2 linked regions of the Anolis sagrei genome follow. The protein of the gene in region 1 interacts with the protein of each later gene in a pairwise test. Links are inferred from orthologs where the notes say so. Each region holds a gene or a part of one and is shown in the gene's direction. Other genes may lie near its edges.

Region 1 (8,219 bases):
TGGGCTCTACCTAGGAACTTATTGCACTTCCTTGAGCACGGACCCAGCTCTGACTCCGTTTACAGCCATGTTGTTGTTTTTATGATGCTGTTGTTGTGTCTGTGTTATGTTTTTATTGATTGACTAGCCGCCCCCTTGCCAAGTATTGCTGTAACCCAGTCTGCGTATGTGTGTGTTGTGTGTGTATATCAGCGCTGGAAAATCCTGCAAATCTCTTGGGAAGACAGGCGGGGAAACAGCGTGCTGGAAGAAGCCAAGAACACCAGCATTGAAGCGATGGTCCTCCGCCATCAACTCCGCTGGGCCGGCCACGTTGTCCGGATGCCCGACCACCGTCTCCCAAAGCAGTTGCTCTACTCCGAACTCAAGAACGGAAAACGGAATGTTGATGGGCAGGAAAAGAGATTGAAATACGGGCTCAAAGCCAACCTTAAAGTCTCTGGCATAGACACTGAGAACTGGGAAGCCCTGGCCCTTGAGCGCTCCAGTTGGAGGTCAGCTGTGACCAGCAGTGTTGTAGAATTTGAAGAGGCACGAATGGAGGGCGAAAGAGAGAAACGTGCCAAGAGGAAGGCACGTCAAGCCCACCCTGACCGAGACCGCCTTCCACCTGGAAGTGATTCCAGTCATGAAAGCTTTCGACAACTCATTAATAATAATAATACTTCATTTGTAAACCGCAGTCTCTCCCCATGGGGACTCAGATCTGTTCAACTGTGGAACTCTCTGCAGTGGAGTGGAGTCTCCTTCCAGAAGAGGGCTAGACGGAAGACTGACAGCAATCCAGTGAGAGCCTTCCTTTGACAACACAATAATAATAACAATACTATATTTCTAGACCGCCCTCTCTCTTTATAGGAACTCAGAGCTGTTCAGCAGTGGAACTCTCTGCAGTGGAGTGAATTGGAGTCTCCTTCTGGAAGAGGTCCAGACGGAAGACTCACAGCAACCCAGTGATTCCGGTCATGAGAGCCTTCCTTTGACAACACAATAATAATAACAACAATACTTTGTTTCTAGACCGCCCTCTCTCTTTATAGGGACTCAGAGCTGTTCAGAAGTGGAACTCTCTGCAGTGGATTGCCGTAAGTTTCATGAAAGCTTTCGACAACCAATAATAATAATAATAATAATCCTTCATTTGTAGACCGCCTTCTCTCCCCATAGGGACTGAAGAGCTGTTCAACTGTGGAACTCTCTGCAGTGGAGTTGATTGGAGTCTCCTTCCGGAAGAGGTCCAGACGGAAGACTCATAGCAACCCAGTGATTCCGGCCATGAGAGCCTTCCTTTGACAACACAATAATAATAACAATGTTTCTAGACCACCCTCTCTCTTTATAGGGACTCAGAGCTGTTCAACTGTGGAACTCTCTGAAGTGGAGTGGATTGGAGTCTCCTTCTGGACGAGATCCAGACGAAAGACTCACAGCAACCCAGTGATTCCGGCCATGAGAGCCTTCCTTTGACAACACAATAATAATGAAATACTTTATTTCTAGACCGCTCTCTCTCTTTATAGGGACTCAGAGCTGTTCAACTGTGGAACTCTATGCAGTGGAGTGGACTGGAGTCTCCTTCCGAAAGAGGACCAGACGGAAGACTCATAGCAACCCAGTGAGAGCCTTCCTTTGACAACACAATAATAATAATACTTTGTTTCTAGACCGCCCTCTTTATAGGGGCTCAGAGCTGTTCAACTGTGGAACTCTCTGCAGTGGAGTGTACTGGAGTCTCCTTCCGGAAGAGGACCAGACTGAAGACTCACAGCAACCTAGTGATTCCAGTCATGAAAGCTTTCGACAACCCAATAATAATAATAATACTTCATTTGTAAACCGCTGTCTCTCCCCATGGGGACTCAGAGTTGTTCAACTGTGGGACTCTCTGCAGTGGAGCGGACTAGAGTCTCCTTCCAGAAGAGGGCCAGACGGAAGACTCACAGCAACCCAGTGAGAGCCTTCCTTTGACAACACAATAATAATAACAATACATTGTTCCTAGACCGCCCTCTCTTTTATAGGGGCTCGGAACCGTTCAGCAGTGGAACTCTCTGCAGTGGATTGCCATAAGTTTTCCGGGGCTGTGTGTCCACGTTCCAGGAGCATTCTATGCATGTATGTCAGGCATCCTCAGAGGTGGAATGATGTCCAGGATGGTGGAAAGAAAATCTTCTCCCAGGCAGCAGGCAGCCAGATCTTGAAGTTGCAAGGCCATTAAACGCTAATCAAGCTGACCTCACAACCTCTGAGGATGCCTGCCATAGATGTGGGCAAAAGAAAATCTTCTCCCAGGCAGCAGGCAGCCAGACCTTGAAGTTGCAAGGCCATTAAACGCTAATCAAGCTGAATTCACTATCTCTGTGCATGTGGGCAAAACGTCAGGAGAGAGTGCTTCTGGAACACAGCCAGGAAAGCCTACAACGAGCCACTGCTGTACACAATGCCCTCTGCACATGCTCAGGGCCCCCCTGGCCTTGCTTTACCCTTCTCTGGCGCGGGAGACTCCATGGCTGCTGAGGAGGAGAGTGAGCGTTGCCAGGGGCGTTGCTAAGGAAGCCTAACGTCCCCCCTCCCGCCCTTCCGGAAGTCCGCTCTAGCCGTGCAGAGGATGTCCCTCCCCTTTGGGTGAGCTCAACCAATGAGGAGGCTTGGAGGAGGAAAAGGCGTTTGTATTTGAGTAAGGGCATTGCTTCAGTCCCCACTTCCGGGCGTGGGAGGCTCCTCCCCTTCCGGCTTGGCGGGCCCGCCCTCCTGCAGGCGGCGCTGGACCAAGACTGGCATGAGGCGCACGTAGGCCGAGATCAGGCGCTGATTGGAGCGGACCAGCTTCCCCGCGCAGCCCTCCAGGCACGCCTCCTGCCATAGAGAGAGAGGGAAAGAGAGGCACCGCTGGGATCAGAATGGCGGAAGAAGCCACAGGAAGTGGTTTTCCCCCGCACTTCCGGCGCCTTTTGCCCTCACCTCGCTCCCGTCTAGGCCTCGCTGGAGTAATCCCGGGACGCAGCGCCGGAAGCAGAGCTCCGTCATCCGGTTGTAGACCAGCAGGAAGTCCCGCAGCTGGAACAGGAAGGAGACAGATAAGACGTTTGGACTACAACTCCCACAATCCCCAAGTGTTAGGAAAGCAAGGCCTAGCTCAGGCCTTCCAGGCACTTTGGACTACAACTCCCACAATCCCCCAGTTTTGGGAAAGCTAATCCCTCTCTCAGAGCCCAGCTGGGCCCTCCAGGCGCTTTGGACTACAACTCCCACAATTCCCGACTGTTAGGAAAGCAAATTCCTCTCTCAGAGCCTAGCTAGGGCCCTCCAAGTGCTTTGGACTACAACTCCCACAATTCCTAAGTGTTAGGGAAGCAAAGATCTCTTTCAGAGCCGAGCTTGGGCGCTCCAGGCGCTTTGGACTACAACTCCCACAATCCCCAAGTGTTAGGGAAGCAAAGCCTAGCTTGGGCCCTCCAGGCGCTTTGGACTGCAACTCCCACAATCCCCAAGTGTTAGGAAAGCAAAGATCTCTTTCAGAGCCTGGCTTGGGCCCTCCAGGCGCTTTGGACTACAACTCCCACAATCCCCAAGTGTTAGGGAAGCAAAGCCTAGCTTGGGCCCTCCAGGCGCTTTGGACTGCAACTCCCACAATCCCCAAGTGTTAGGAAAGCAAAGATCTCTTTCAGAGCCTGGCTTGGGCCCTCCAGGCGCTTTGGACTACAACTCCCACAATTCCCAAGTGTTAGGGAAGCAAAGATCTCTTTCAGAGCCTAGCTCGGGCCCTCCAGGCGCTTTGGACTACAACTCCCACAATCCCCAAGTGTTAGGGAAGCAAAGCCTAGCTTGGGCCCTCCAGGCGCTTTGGACTACAACTCCCACAATTCCCAAGTGTTAGGGAAGCAAAGATCTCTTTCAGAGCCTAGCTTGGGCCCTCCAGGCGCTTTGGACTACAACTCCCACAATCCCCAAGTGTTAGGGAAGCAAAGCCTAGCTTGGCCCCTCCAGGCGCTTTGGACTACAACTCCCACAATCCCCAAGAGTTAGGGAAGCAAAGATCTTTTTCAGAGCCTAGCTTGGGCCCTCCAGGCGCTTTGGACTACAACTCCCACAATTCCCAAGTGTTAGGGAAGCAAAGATCTCTTTCAGAGCCTAGCTCGGGCCCTCCAGGCGCTTTGGACTACAACTCCCACAATCCCCAAGTGTTAGGGAAGCAAAGCCTAGCTTGGGCCCTCCAGGCGCTTTGGACTACAACTCCCACAATCCCCAAGAGTTAGGGAAGCAAAGATCTCTTTCAGAGCCTAGCTTGGGCCCTTCAGGCGCTTTGGACTACAACTCCCACAATCCCCAAGTGTTAGGGAAGCAAAGCCTAGCTTGGGCCCTCCAGGCGCTTTGGACTACAACTCCCACAATCCCCAAGAGTTAGGGAAGCAAAGATCTCTTTCAGAGCCTAGCTTGGGCCCTTCAGGCGCTTTGGACTACAACTCCCACAATGCCCAAGTGTTGGGGAAGCAAAGCCTAGCTAGGGCCCTCCAGGCGCTTTGGACTACAACTCCCACAATGCCCAAGCGTTAGGGAAGCAAGGCCTAGCTTGGGCCCTCCAGGCGCTTTGGACTACAACTCCCACAATCCCCAAGCGTTAGGAAAGCAAAGATCTCTTTCAGAGCCTAGCTTGGGCCCTCCAGGCGCTTTGGACTACAACTCCCACAATCCCTAAGCGTTAGGAAAGCAAAGATCTCTTTCAGAGCCTAGCTTGGCCCCTCCAGGCGCTTTGGACTACAACTCCCACAATCCCCAAGTGTTAGGAAAGCCAAGCCCTCTCTCAGAGCCTAGCTTGGGCCCTCTAAGCGCTTTGGACTACAACTCCCACAATTCCAGAGTGTTAGGAAAGCAAAGATCTCCTTCAGAGCCTAGCTTGGGCCCTCCAGGCGCTTTGGACTACAACTCCCACAATGCCCAAGCGTTAGGGAAGCAAGGCCTAGCTTGGGCCCTCCAGGCGCTTTGGACTACAACTCCCACAATTCCTAACAGCCGTCCCGGCTGTTAGGAATTGTGGGAGTTGTAGTCCAAAGCGCCTGGAGGGAAGGATGGGAAGCCCCGCCCCCTTGTTTGGGAAGACTCACGCTGCGCAGTTGCTGCTGCTGCTCGCTCTCCGCCATCCTGCGTCACTTCCGCTTTGCTTCCCCCTTGACTCCTTCCTTCCTTCCTCTCTCTCCCCCCGACCCTGGGGCCGCCGTGACGTCGCTTCCGGTCCTCCCGGGGGCCCAAGGCGGCGGAGGAGGAGGAGGAGGAAGGCGACGTGGCCCCAGTTCCGGGAGAGAGGGAGGGAAGGAAGAGGGAGGGGCCTAGAGCGCACCTGTGCACCTGGGAGGCAGGTACACAAGCTCACCTGTCCCCCTCCTGCTCCTCGTCCAGGATGACGGAGGGGCTGATGAGCAAGGCGGCCACCATGGAGGTCCCCATCCACGGCAACGGAGACTCCCGGCGGATGGGACCCTCCACCACCTCCGAGGATGATGGCCTCGAGCAGGTGCATTGAGGGAGGGGCTCACCTGGAGAGGGTGGGTGGGGGTGGGGTGGGGTAGCAGGGGAATTGAGGCAGGGGCTCACCTGGGGAGATTGGGTGGGTGAGGGGTGAGGTGGGGTGAGGGTCCCTCAGAAGATGATGGCCTCGAGCAGGTGAATTGAGGGAGGGGCTCACCTGGAGAGGTTAGGTGGGTGGGGAGTGGGGTAGCAGGGGAATGGAGGGAGGGGCTCACCTGGAGAGGTTGGGTTGGTAGGGGGTGGGGTAGCAGGTGAATTGAGGGGGGGACTTACCTGGGGAGATTGGGTGGGGGGGTGGGGGGCGGTCGAGCAGGTAAATTGAGGGAGGGGCTTACCTGGGAGGTTGGGTGGGTGGGATGGGGAGAGGTCAAGCAGGGACCCGTATTACTCGTAGTAATAATATTATTATTGGTGTTGTGGTGGTGCTTGAGTAGCAGGCAAAATGTCAGGAAGAAATGCTGCCAGGCCACAGCCCTACAACCTGGATAAGCACACAACTGAGGGAGGGGCTTACCTGGGAGGTTGGGTGTGGGGGGGGTGGGGAGGGGTCAAGCAGGGACCCGTATTACTCTCAGTAATAGTATTATTATTGGTGTTGTGGTGGTGCTCGAATAGCAGGTGAAATGTCAGGAGGAAATGCTGCCAGACCACAGCCCTTACCTGGGGAGATTGGATGGGGGCTGGGGGTGGGGGTGGGGGTGGGGAGGGGTCAAGCAGGGTCCCTTATTACCATTAATAGTATTATTATTATTGGTGTTGTGGTGGTGCTCAAATAACAGGCGAAATGTCAGGAGGAAATGCTGCCAGGCCACAGCCCTACAACCTGGATAAGCACACAATTGAGGGAGGGGCTTACCTGGGGAGATTGGGTGGGGGGTGGTGGGGGTCCCTCAGATGATGATGACCTCGAGCAGGTGAATTGAAGGAGGGGCTTACCTGGGGAGGTTGGGTGGGTGGGGGGTGGGGAGGGGTCAAGCAGGGACCCGTATGACTCGTAGTAATGATATTATTATTGGTGTTGTGGTGGTGCTCGAACAGCAGGTGAAATGTCAGGAGGAAATGCTGCCAGACCACAGCCCTACAACCTGGATAAGCACACAAGTGAGGGAGGGGCTTACCTGGGGAGATTGGGGGTGGGGAGGGGTCAAGCAGGGTCCCTTATTACTCATAGTCATAATATTATTATTGTAATATTATAATATTATAATATTATTATTGGTGTTGTGGTGGTGCTTGAATAGCAGGCGAAATGTCAGGAGGAAATGGTGCCAGACCACAGCCCTACAACCTGGATAAGCACACAAGAGAGCCGTCATTCCAGCCGTGAAAGCTTTCCACAATACATTATTATTATTATCATTATCATTATTATTATTATTAGAAACATAACAAGATGAGTCCACAGCAGACACTCTGCTGGCTGTTGCATTGGATCCCATGTCGGACACATTATTATTATTATTATTATTATTATTATTATTATTATTTGAAACACAACAAGATGAGTCCACAGCAGACACTCTGCTGGCTGTTGAATTATTATTATTATTATTATTATTACTGTTATTATTTGAAACACAACAAGATGAGTCCACATGTCAGACACTTCCCAAGTGCCTAGGACTATTATTATTATTATTATTATTATTATTATTATTATTATTAGAAACATAACAAGATGAGTCCACAGCAGACACTCTGCTGGCTGTTGAATTGGATTACACATTGGACACTTATTATTATTATTATTATTATTATTATTATTATTATTATTATTAGAAACACAACAGGATAACACTACAGCAGACAATCTGCTGGCTGTTGTACTGGGTCACACGATGGACACTTATTATTATTATTATTATTATTATTATTATTATTGGACACTTATTATTACCACTCAGAGGATAATGGCCTCGAGCAGGTGAATGGAGGGAGGGGCTTACCTGGGGAGATTGGGTGGGGGGTGGGGGTGGGGAGGGGTTAAGCAGGGACCCTTATTACTTTTAATAATATTATTATTATTATTGGTGTTGTGGTGGTGCTCGAATAGCAGGTGAAATGTCAGGAGGAAATGCAGCCAAACCACAGCCATAATTATTATTATTATTTTACTGACACAAAACCACAATATGTCACAGCAAACAAGATCTCTGTGCTAGGTTTCATATCACAAAATCATAAGTCGATCCCTTTCCTAAGTGTCTATTTATTTGTCGTTTCACGGCAAGCAAACTGCATTGAGTCGCCTTTTTGGGCTGAAAAATGCGGTATAGAAATAAAGCAAATAAATAAATAAAATAAATAAGCAGTCAATTATATTATATTTCTAACAGAACAAAGCAAACAAACAGACAAAACACAGAATTTGTGAGTTTGGTAGTTGGTTAAATGTCCTTTGAGCAGTCTCTGGCCACTTGGAGTGCCTCTGGTGTTACTATAAGAAGATCCTCCCTGGTGCATGTGGCAGGGGGTCAGTGGTTTGCTCTTCTCCGCACTCGCATGTCGAGGATTCCACTTTGTAGCCCCATTTCTGAAGGTTGGCTCTGCATCTCGTGGTGCCAGAGCACAGTCTGTTCAGCGCCCTCCAAGTCGCCCAGTCTTCCATGTGCCCAGGGGGGAGTCTCTCATTTGGTATCAGCCATTGGTTGAAGTTCTGGGTTTGAGCCTGCCACTTTTGGACTCTCGCTTGCTGA
Region 2 (7,507 bases), on another chromosome or scaffold:
TCTTTGCTATTCCTGCATATCCCTAATGTGTTTTTAGCAATGCTTTCCACAGATCCATTGGTACATAAGTCACCTGTACATGCCACAAGATCTGGATTGCAGACCACTGTTTGTATTTTGATCGTATGTTCATTTATAATTAAAAGGTTGGCTGACATATTTTCATTTAGAAGATTGTTCACCAAGAGGGAAAGCTGTAAGGAAGCATAGTAAAAAAAACCCAATCCATATAAAGGGACAAAAATATTCCTCATGGTGTAAACACAGCCTGGTGTATTTCAAAGCAGAGGTGCCTCTTCAACTGGCAAACTTGCAGTACTGTACCTAACGCCACATGAAAAATTAAAGGTTTTATTCACATTTCAGTAAATTACTTCCACATCACTGCACAGATTTGTTTTGAACCATCTCTGTATTCCATTGTCTCTCTAGATCAGGGGTCCTCAAACTTTTTAAACAGAGGGCCAGGTCACAGTCCCTCAAACTATTGGAGGGCCGGATTATAATTTGAAATAAGCATGAATTAATTCCTATGCACACTGAACATATCTTATTTGTAGTGCAAAAAAACACTTTAAAACAATACAATAATTAAAATGAAGAACAGTTTAAACAAATATAAACTTATTAGTATTTCAATGGGAAGTGTGGGCCTGCTTTTGGCTGATGAGATAGGATTGTTGTTGTTGTTATATGCTTTCAAGTCATTTCAGACTTAGGTAGACCCCGAGCAAGGGCTGGGTAAATGACCTTGGAGGGCCATATCTGGTCCCCGGGGCTTAGTTTGAGGACCCCTGCTCTAGATGAAGCAAACAGGAGTTATGGCTTCAGGAGTGGGAGGAAATGAATCTAACTCTCCCACTGTGAATATCACCATCAGGGTTAATTCAAACCACTATCGGCCTGACTAGTGGAGGCAATGCAAATGGCTGTTGAGTGTTTGCATTTTAGGCCAATACCATGGTCTAAACTTGTGGATTCTGTTGCTCATGTATGTCTAGATTAAGATGAGAACATAAAGCATTGGGAAATCCTATGATGAGATGAATGGGAGAGATTCCTTTAGCAGTCTGTTTCATGCCTTTCCTGTTCAATGTGCTGCCAAATGAATCTGTTTGCCAAAACCAGAAGGAAGATGTCGCTCTTTGCTCCTTTCCTTCATTACTCCCTCATACTTCATTGAAAGTATAATCCTCTCCAAGTCTGTGAATAAATGTGAACGAATGAATTCAGTGGGACCTATTTCCAGGTGCGTGGGTACAGTTTTGCAGCCCTTATCAAAAAGTCAGAGGCAGTTCAGCACCAATCAGAAAATTTGCGAGATGTAGGTGGTAATATTCAACATATTTTGGGTTGTCAAATTCCACTGTTAAATGTATCTGCAATAGGATGACTCCTGATAAAGACTACTTTGCCCACTCCATAAGTAAGAGGGATGCATGGAAAGAGCTTAGCTTTGATATTAAAGCAAGCAGAATATGATCTGGTGGCCCACTTGCCTTGTACAGTATCTGAAGTCTATGGTTTTTTTTCCTGTCACATCTATTATATTCTCCCAATCCCTCCCATTAAATAAGGCTTCCCCATACTGAATCACACTGATTGTAGACCTGCAGCTGGATCCTTTCCTCCATCAATTCATTTTCATATCTATTTCATCTCTTTCTTTTATGTCAGGCTACCACTAAAGGTTCCAATATTAAACTTTTGTTCTCCTCCTCCCCCGCCCCAATGTCAGATGGGCAAAAAACATGCAGATGGAGAAATCAGATACATTTTCCATTTGAGATAGGACACTGGGGTGGAAATGTATGGTTTGCAGAATGCTAGCAGAGGCTGTGAAAGCATTTAGGGGTTATTGCAAACACAGAAAGAAAGTCAATGAGTGGAGAAGTTCAAACAGCACAAGTTTAATAAGAGGCAGATAGACTAGACTGTCACTTCACTGAACCAAGGCAGATCTGTAAATGATTGGTCATTGTATAGTAGACAAAAACATAAGGTTGAATTAAGGAGCAAAATAGATATTATTTTTGTGGTTTTTATTTATATTAAATATAAACTAAATAGTCTGCAGCTCCACCCCTGTCAACCTCCCCCCTGCACCACCACCACCACCACCAAGTCTGGCCTCCTTCAGGAAGGCCTTCAAATTCACCCTTCGCCTTAGCCTTTGCCTGCCAGTTGGGGGTGGGCCAGCTTAGTTGCTTCCACTATATCAGCTATTGCACTGGTTGCAATGTAAATTGGTGGAAAGGTGGGTAAAGAAAAAGACAAAACAGAACACACAAAGATATGTAAAACTACCAAAACTTGCATCTGTATAATGTCCAATACCACTAAATTACAATGATCTTCAGACCTTCAGGAACTGCCCCCTACACATAATGTAGTTTTCTAACATTGGTGAATGTAAACTTTCTAATAATAATAAACTGTGCATCATATTTTGAAGGAAACTTCTCAACCCTACCCCAAGATAATATCACACACACATTATAGTACCAAGACTCTTAACTAACAATGTATCATAAGAAAGATTGGGGGGGGGACACAAATATTATTTTTGTTATCTAACATCTGTCTTACCATTTATCTTCTATTAATATTTTTAAGCACTAAACAATGTTACAGACCAGTCTTTAAATATCCCATTCTTCTATTCCACACAGTACACCAAGAGAATCCCTATTATGTCCCAGTTACCCACTTTTAGGTAAACACTTGAACCCTGGTGACTGTGGGATGGAGAACCTGGTCACGGGGATGGAATCACAATAGACCACTGCAACTCCACCTCCCAGACCTTGCCTGCTGTTGCACAGAGAATCCTGGTGGGCAGAGCTGAGAGAAATTGTCCAACCCAGTCTCATCCAGCCCGGTCTCTGTGATATAGACCAGGTCAGCATATTCATCCAGGATCAAGTCCTGGGTGACAGTTGGTTTTCCATTTACTGGCATTCAACAGCAGCATTTTCAACCTGGGGAGGGGGGGGGGGGCTCTCACCCTGATTATCCAGGCTATAAAACATAGGAGACTTTGGAGGCAATAAGCACTCTGTAGGACTCTAATGGCTGCACCATGAATCAGGGGACTCCCCTCTCCTCCTTAGAAATATACATCTTTCCTATAAGGTTAGGCTAACAGATGGCAAATAAAAAACTTTATATAAAACAGGCATGTAGATGTTATAATTCCACTGCAACTACTAGGCAGATTTATTCTCTAGTGTGGTGAAGTAGTGGGATTTCTGGGAGTTGTAGGGCAAAACACCTGGGAACCTGCAGGTTGAGAACCACTGTGCTAGGGGATAGTGGGATTTGCTGTCTTGAAAGGCCCCTTTACAGTCCTCCGCCAGAGAGCTCTTGGTCCTCATTAAAAGACAAACTCCACAAGATGTTGCCATGGCAGTTAAAGTGGAATAACAGTGCTATGATACTGTGGCATTGTTCTCGGGTGCTATTCCTTAACATCTGGAGGGCCAGAAGTTAAACTCTGCTGACTTTGGGTCTAATCCAGGCATGGGCAAACTTGGGCCCTCCAGGTGTTTTGGACTCCAACTCCCACAATTCCTAACAGCTGGAGGGCCCAAGTTTGCCCATGCCTGGTCTAATCTCATGAGCTCAAACTACAAGAAAGGAGTTTCCATTTGAACATGAGGAAGAACTTCCTGATTGTGAGAGCTGATCAGAATGTGGTGGAGGCTCCTTCTTTGGAAGCTTTAAAACAGAGGCTGGATGGCCATCTATCGGGGGTGCTTTGAATGCGATTTTCCTGCTTCTTGGCAGGGGGTTGGACTGGATAGCCCATGAGGTCTCTTCCAACTCTAGGATTCTATGAGAGATACAGCACTATGATTGCACTCCTATTGCCATGGCAACACCCACAGCACGTTGAAGCGGAATCATCGCGATTTGACAGTGCAGCGTGACAGGGCTCCGTGTTGTGAATGTGAAGGTTACTGCTTTCTCTGTGAAGTGCGGCCTCGGTGTTGCCACTCTCGCGCGCACGTCTACATTGCCATGAGCGTTTGGCCTTCGGTGCTCTTTGGCCGTCGTGGCCCCCTCCCTGCTTGGCTTCCCCTTCGTCCCCTCCTGTTCAGGAACACCGTCCCCCCCACAACAACACCACCACCACCACCACAGCAGGGCGCCTTTCAAGGACTCCCTCCCTGGAAGCCCTCCTCCCCCGCGCCTTGCAGCAGGAGCAGTGGCTGCGGACGCTACCATGGAAACGAAGGACACCGGGGGGAAATCTCGCGAGGGGGCGGCGGCGAGGTCTCGCGAGAGCGTCTCGTGTTCACGGGCCTGGAGAACGGATGCCGCTGCTGTTCCTTGCTTCCGGGTGCGGGGAGAAGGAGGAGGAGGGCCGGCGCGTGAAAGAGAGAGAGAGCGCGCGCGCGCAAGAGAGAGAGAAAGGGAGGGGGGATTCGCTGCTGCTGCTGCTGCTCTTGTTGGGAGAGTGCAGAGTCAGCTGGGCGGCAGGAGGAGGAGGAAGAGGAGGAGGAGGCAGCGCGCGCGCAGGAAGCAGGTGGGTTGCCCGGGCCCGGCTTGCCCTGCGGGGGTGGCGGCAATAGGAGGAACAGCCGCCGCTGCCGCCAGTGACCAAGGAAACCAACCGTTAGGGAGGTAGATTCCACGGCGGGAGGGAGGGAGGGAATGGCGGGGGTGAGGGAGAGGGAGAGAGGGGGGGAAAGGCAAATGGCGGTTGAAGGGCGCGCGGGCAGGGGTGAGGGAGGAGGAGGGGGAGGCCGGTCCCGAGGCCAGCGGGGGGCCAAAGGGCGGGCGTTGCGGCAGGGATGGAGGCGAGGCGGGGAGGACCTGCTGTGTGCGGCTTGTGCAGTGACCAAGTGAGTGAGGGAGGAGGCAGGCAGGGAGCCATGGCTGCTCTGCTCCTCGTCATCCTTCTGTGCGGAGGAAGAGAAAAAGCTGGGGGCGGGGAGGCGAGGCGAGGGAGCTCTCCGTCCTAGCTCCCTCCGAGCCACCGTACCTGGCCAAGGTGTGGAGGGCGGAGAGGAAGAAGGCAGCCAGGCCTAGCAGGCCTTGGGCGCCTGGCCTGGAGGTAGAGGGGCGTCCCACGCACAAGGGCCGGGACCAGCTCTTTGCCTCCTCATTGAACAGTCCCCTCTTATCATCCCCTCTCTATGGTGGTGATGATAATGATGATGTGTTGTCGAAGGCTTTCATGGCAAGAATCACTGGGTTGCGGGGAGTTTTCTGGGCTGTATGGCCATGTTCCAGAAGCATTCTCTCCTGACGTTTCCCCCACATCCATAGCAGGCATCCTTTATTTCCCAACCTGGGCACAGCATATTATTTGAGAACACAGAAATGCTGGACCACTCTAACAACTTCCATGTCAGACTACACAGAGAAAATGAAATCCACAAGCATGTGGACAATTTCAACAAAAAGGAGGAAACGATGAACATGAACAAAATCAGGCTACCAGTATTTTTTTAAAAAAAAAACCTCTTAAAACAGGACAACCTCTGTGGATGCCTGCCATAAATGTGGGTGAAACATCAGGAGGGAATGCTTCAGGAACATGGCCATACTGCCCGAAAACTCACAGCAACTCAGAAACCCATGGGTGTCTGGAATTGTGACACCTTTGTTTTCTGACTTTGTACAAAATTACCTTCAGTGGGATATAAATACACAACATTTGGAACTTCAGCATGACCAGACAGACTCAAATTGGAATACGAACAAGGAACAGCTAAGACGATGGAAACAGTTGAGGAATTGAACAGGAAGGCAAAGTTTTATAATTTTTGTTTTTATTGCTTTTATGGTTTTTAAATGTATTCTCATGTGGTTTAGTTTTTGATTTGTTTTTTGATTTTGTTTTGTTTTGTTTGCTTTTAACCAATGTATGTATTTTTATATGGCATCTAATTGGTTGTTGATTTGTACGCCGCCCTGAGTCACCTTCGGGCTGAAATGGGTGGGATAAAATGACGTAAATAAATAAATAAATCATAATAGGTTGCTGTGAGTTTTACAGGCTGTATGGCCTTGTTCCAAAAGTATTCACTACAATGGCAGGCATCCTTAGAGGTTGTGAGGTCTGTTGGAAACTAGGAAAGTGAGGTTTATCTCTGGAATAATGTCCAGGGTGGGAGAAAGAACTCTTGTCTGTTGGAGGCAAGTGTGAATGTTGCCATTGGCCACCTTGATTAGCATTGAATGGCCTTGCAGATTCAAAGCCTGGCTGACACCTTCACCATTCACCACTTGGAGCCATGGAGGAAAAGTACTCATCAAGTTCCTGGACCACCTCTACAGCATCCACACAAACATCCAATTCACCATGGAAAAAAAAGAAAATGAAGGAAAACTGCCATATCTAGATGTCCTAGTTGTCTGCAAATCCTATCAACAATTGGGCCACACAGTTTACAGACAACCTACGCACACAGATAGACACCTACATAAAAACTCCAACTATCACCCAAGTCAAAAAAGAAGCATAGTTAAAGCCCTGGCAGGCCGTGCAAAAAGAACCTGCGAACCCCACCTCCTCCAAGGTGAACTGAACCACCTAAACTGGGCTCTACAGGCCAATGGATACTCCACCTCAGACACCAGAAGACCAAGATGAGAGTAAAGACAAAAATCTACACATAGGAAAAGTGTTCTTACTATACATCAAAGAAACCACTGACCGCATAGGGAAGCTGATGAAGAAACACAATGTACAAACAATTTACAGACCCACTAAGAAAAATCCAACAAATGCTATGTTCAGCAAAGGATAAGAGGAATCCTCTCACCTCTGCAGGAGTCTACCGTATACCATGCAGCTGTGGACAAGTCTACATAGGGACCACCAAACACATAATTGCCCAAACATGAATCAAGGAACATGAAAGGCACTGCAGACTAATTCAACCTGAGAAGTCAGCCATGCACATGATGAATCAACCTGGACACAGCATATTATTTAAGAACACAGAAATGCTTGAGCACTCTTAACAATCACCATGTCAGACTACACAGGGAAGCATAAAGATAGGACACTAAAGGAAGTACTAAATGTGTTGTTGAAGGCTTTCATGGCTGGAATCACTCAGTTGTGCATTTTCTGGGCTGTATGGCCATGTTCCAGAAACAGTCTCTCCTGACATTTCACCCACATCTATGGCAAGCATCCTTTATTTACCAACCTGGGCACAGCATATTATTTGAAAACACAGAAATGCTTGAACACTCTTAACAACTTCCATGTCAGACTAGGCAGAGAAGCCATTGAAATCCACAAGCATGTGGACAAAACCATAAAAATGAACAAAATCTGGCTACCAGTATTTAAAAACTCTAAAATCAGGACAGAAAACGGGAATTCCAGAGAAGAATCAATCAAGGTTAGCTAACATCTCCCAACAAAGAATTCCCCCAGAACACCAATCAGCCAGGCTTTGAAGCTGCAAGACCATTAAATTGTAATCAAGGTGACCATTTGCAACATTCACACTTGCATCAAACAGACAAGAGTTCTTTC

What was found.
Region 2: the proteins of ARFIP2 (region 1) and ARF3 interact in a two-hybrid assay, tested with the Homo sapiens proteins (2 studies listed by BioGRID and IntAct). The link is inferred for Anolis sagrei from reciprocal best matches to the Homo sapiens genes ARFIP2 and ARF3.

The regions. Positions count from the first base shown.
Region 1 is NC_090023.1:1,133,357-1,141,575, forward strand, and holds the start of ARFIP2 (arfaptin-2), read left to right. Parts: upstream 1-5,184; 5' UTR 5,185-5,395; coding exon 5,396-5,509; intron 5,510-5,646; exon of another isoform or gene 5,647-5,658; intron 5,659-7,428; exon of another isoform or gene 7,429-7,447; intron 7,448-8,219. Other genes in the region: DNHD1 (dynein heavy chain domain-containing protein 1), read right to left, coding at 2,484-2,508; TIMM10B (mitochondrial import inner membrane translocase subunit Tim10 B), read right to left, coding at 2,692-2,856, 2,962-3,057, 5,103-5,138. UniProt on the Homo sapiens protein: Plays a role in constitutive metalloproteinase (MMP) secretion from the trans Golgi network. May have important functions during vesicle biogenesis at certain cargo subdomains, which could be predominantly utilized by secreted MMPs, such as MMP7 and MMP2.
Region 2 is NC_090022.1:137,920,210-137,927,716, reverse strand, and holds the start of ARF3 (ADP-ribosylation factor 3), read left to right. Parts: upstream 1-4,300; 5' UTR 4,301-4,531; intron 4,532-4,537; exon of another isoform or gene 4,538-4,629; intron 4,630-7,507.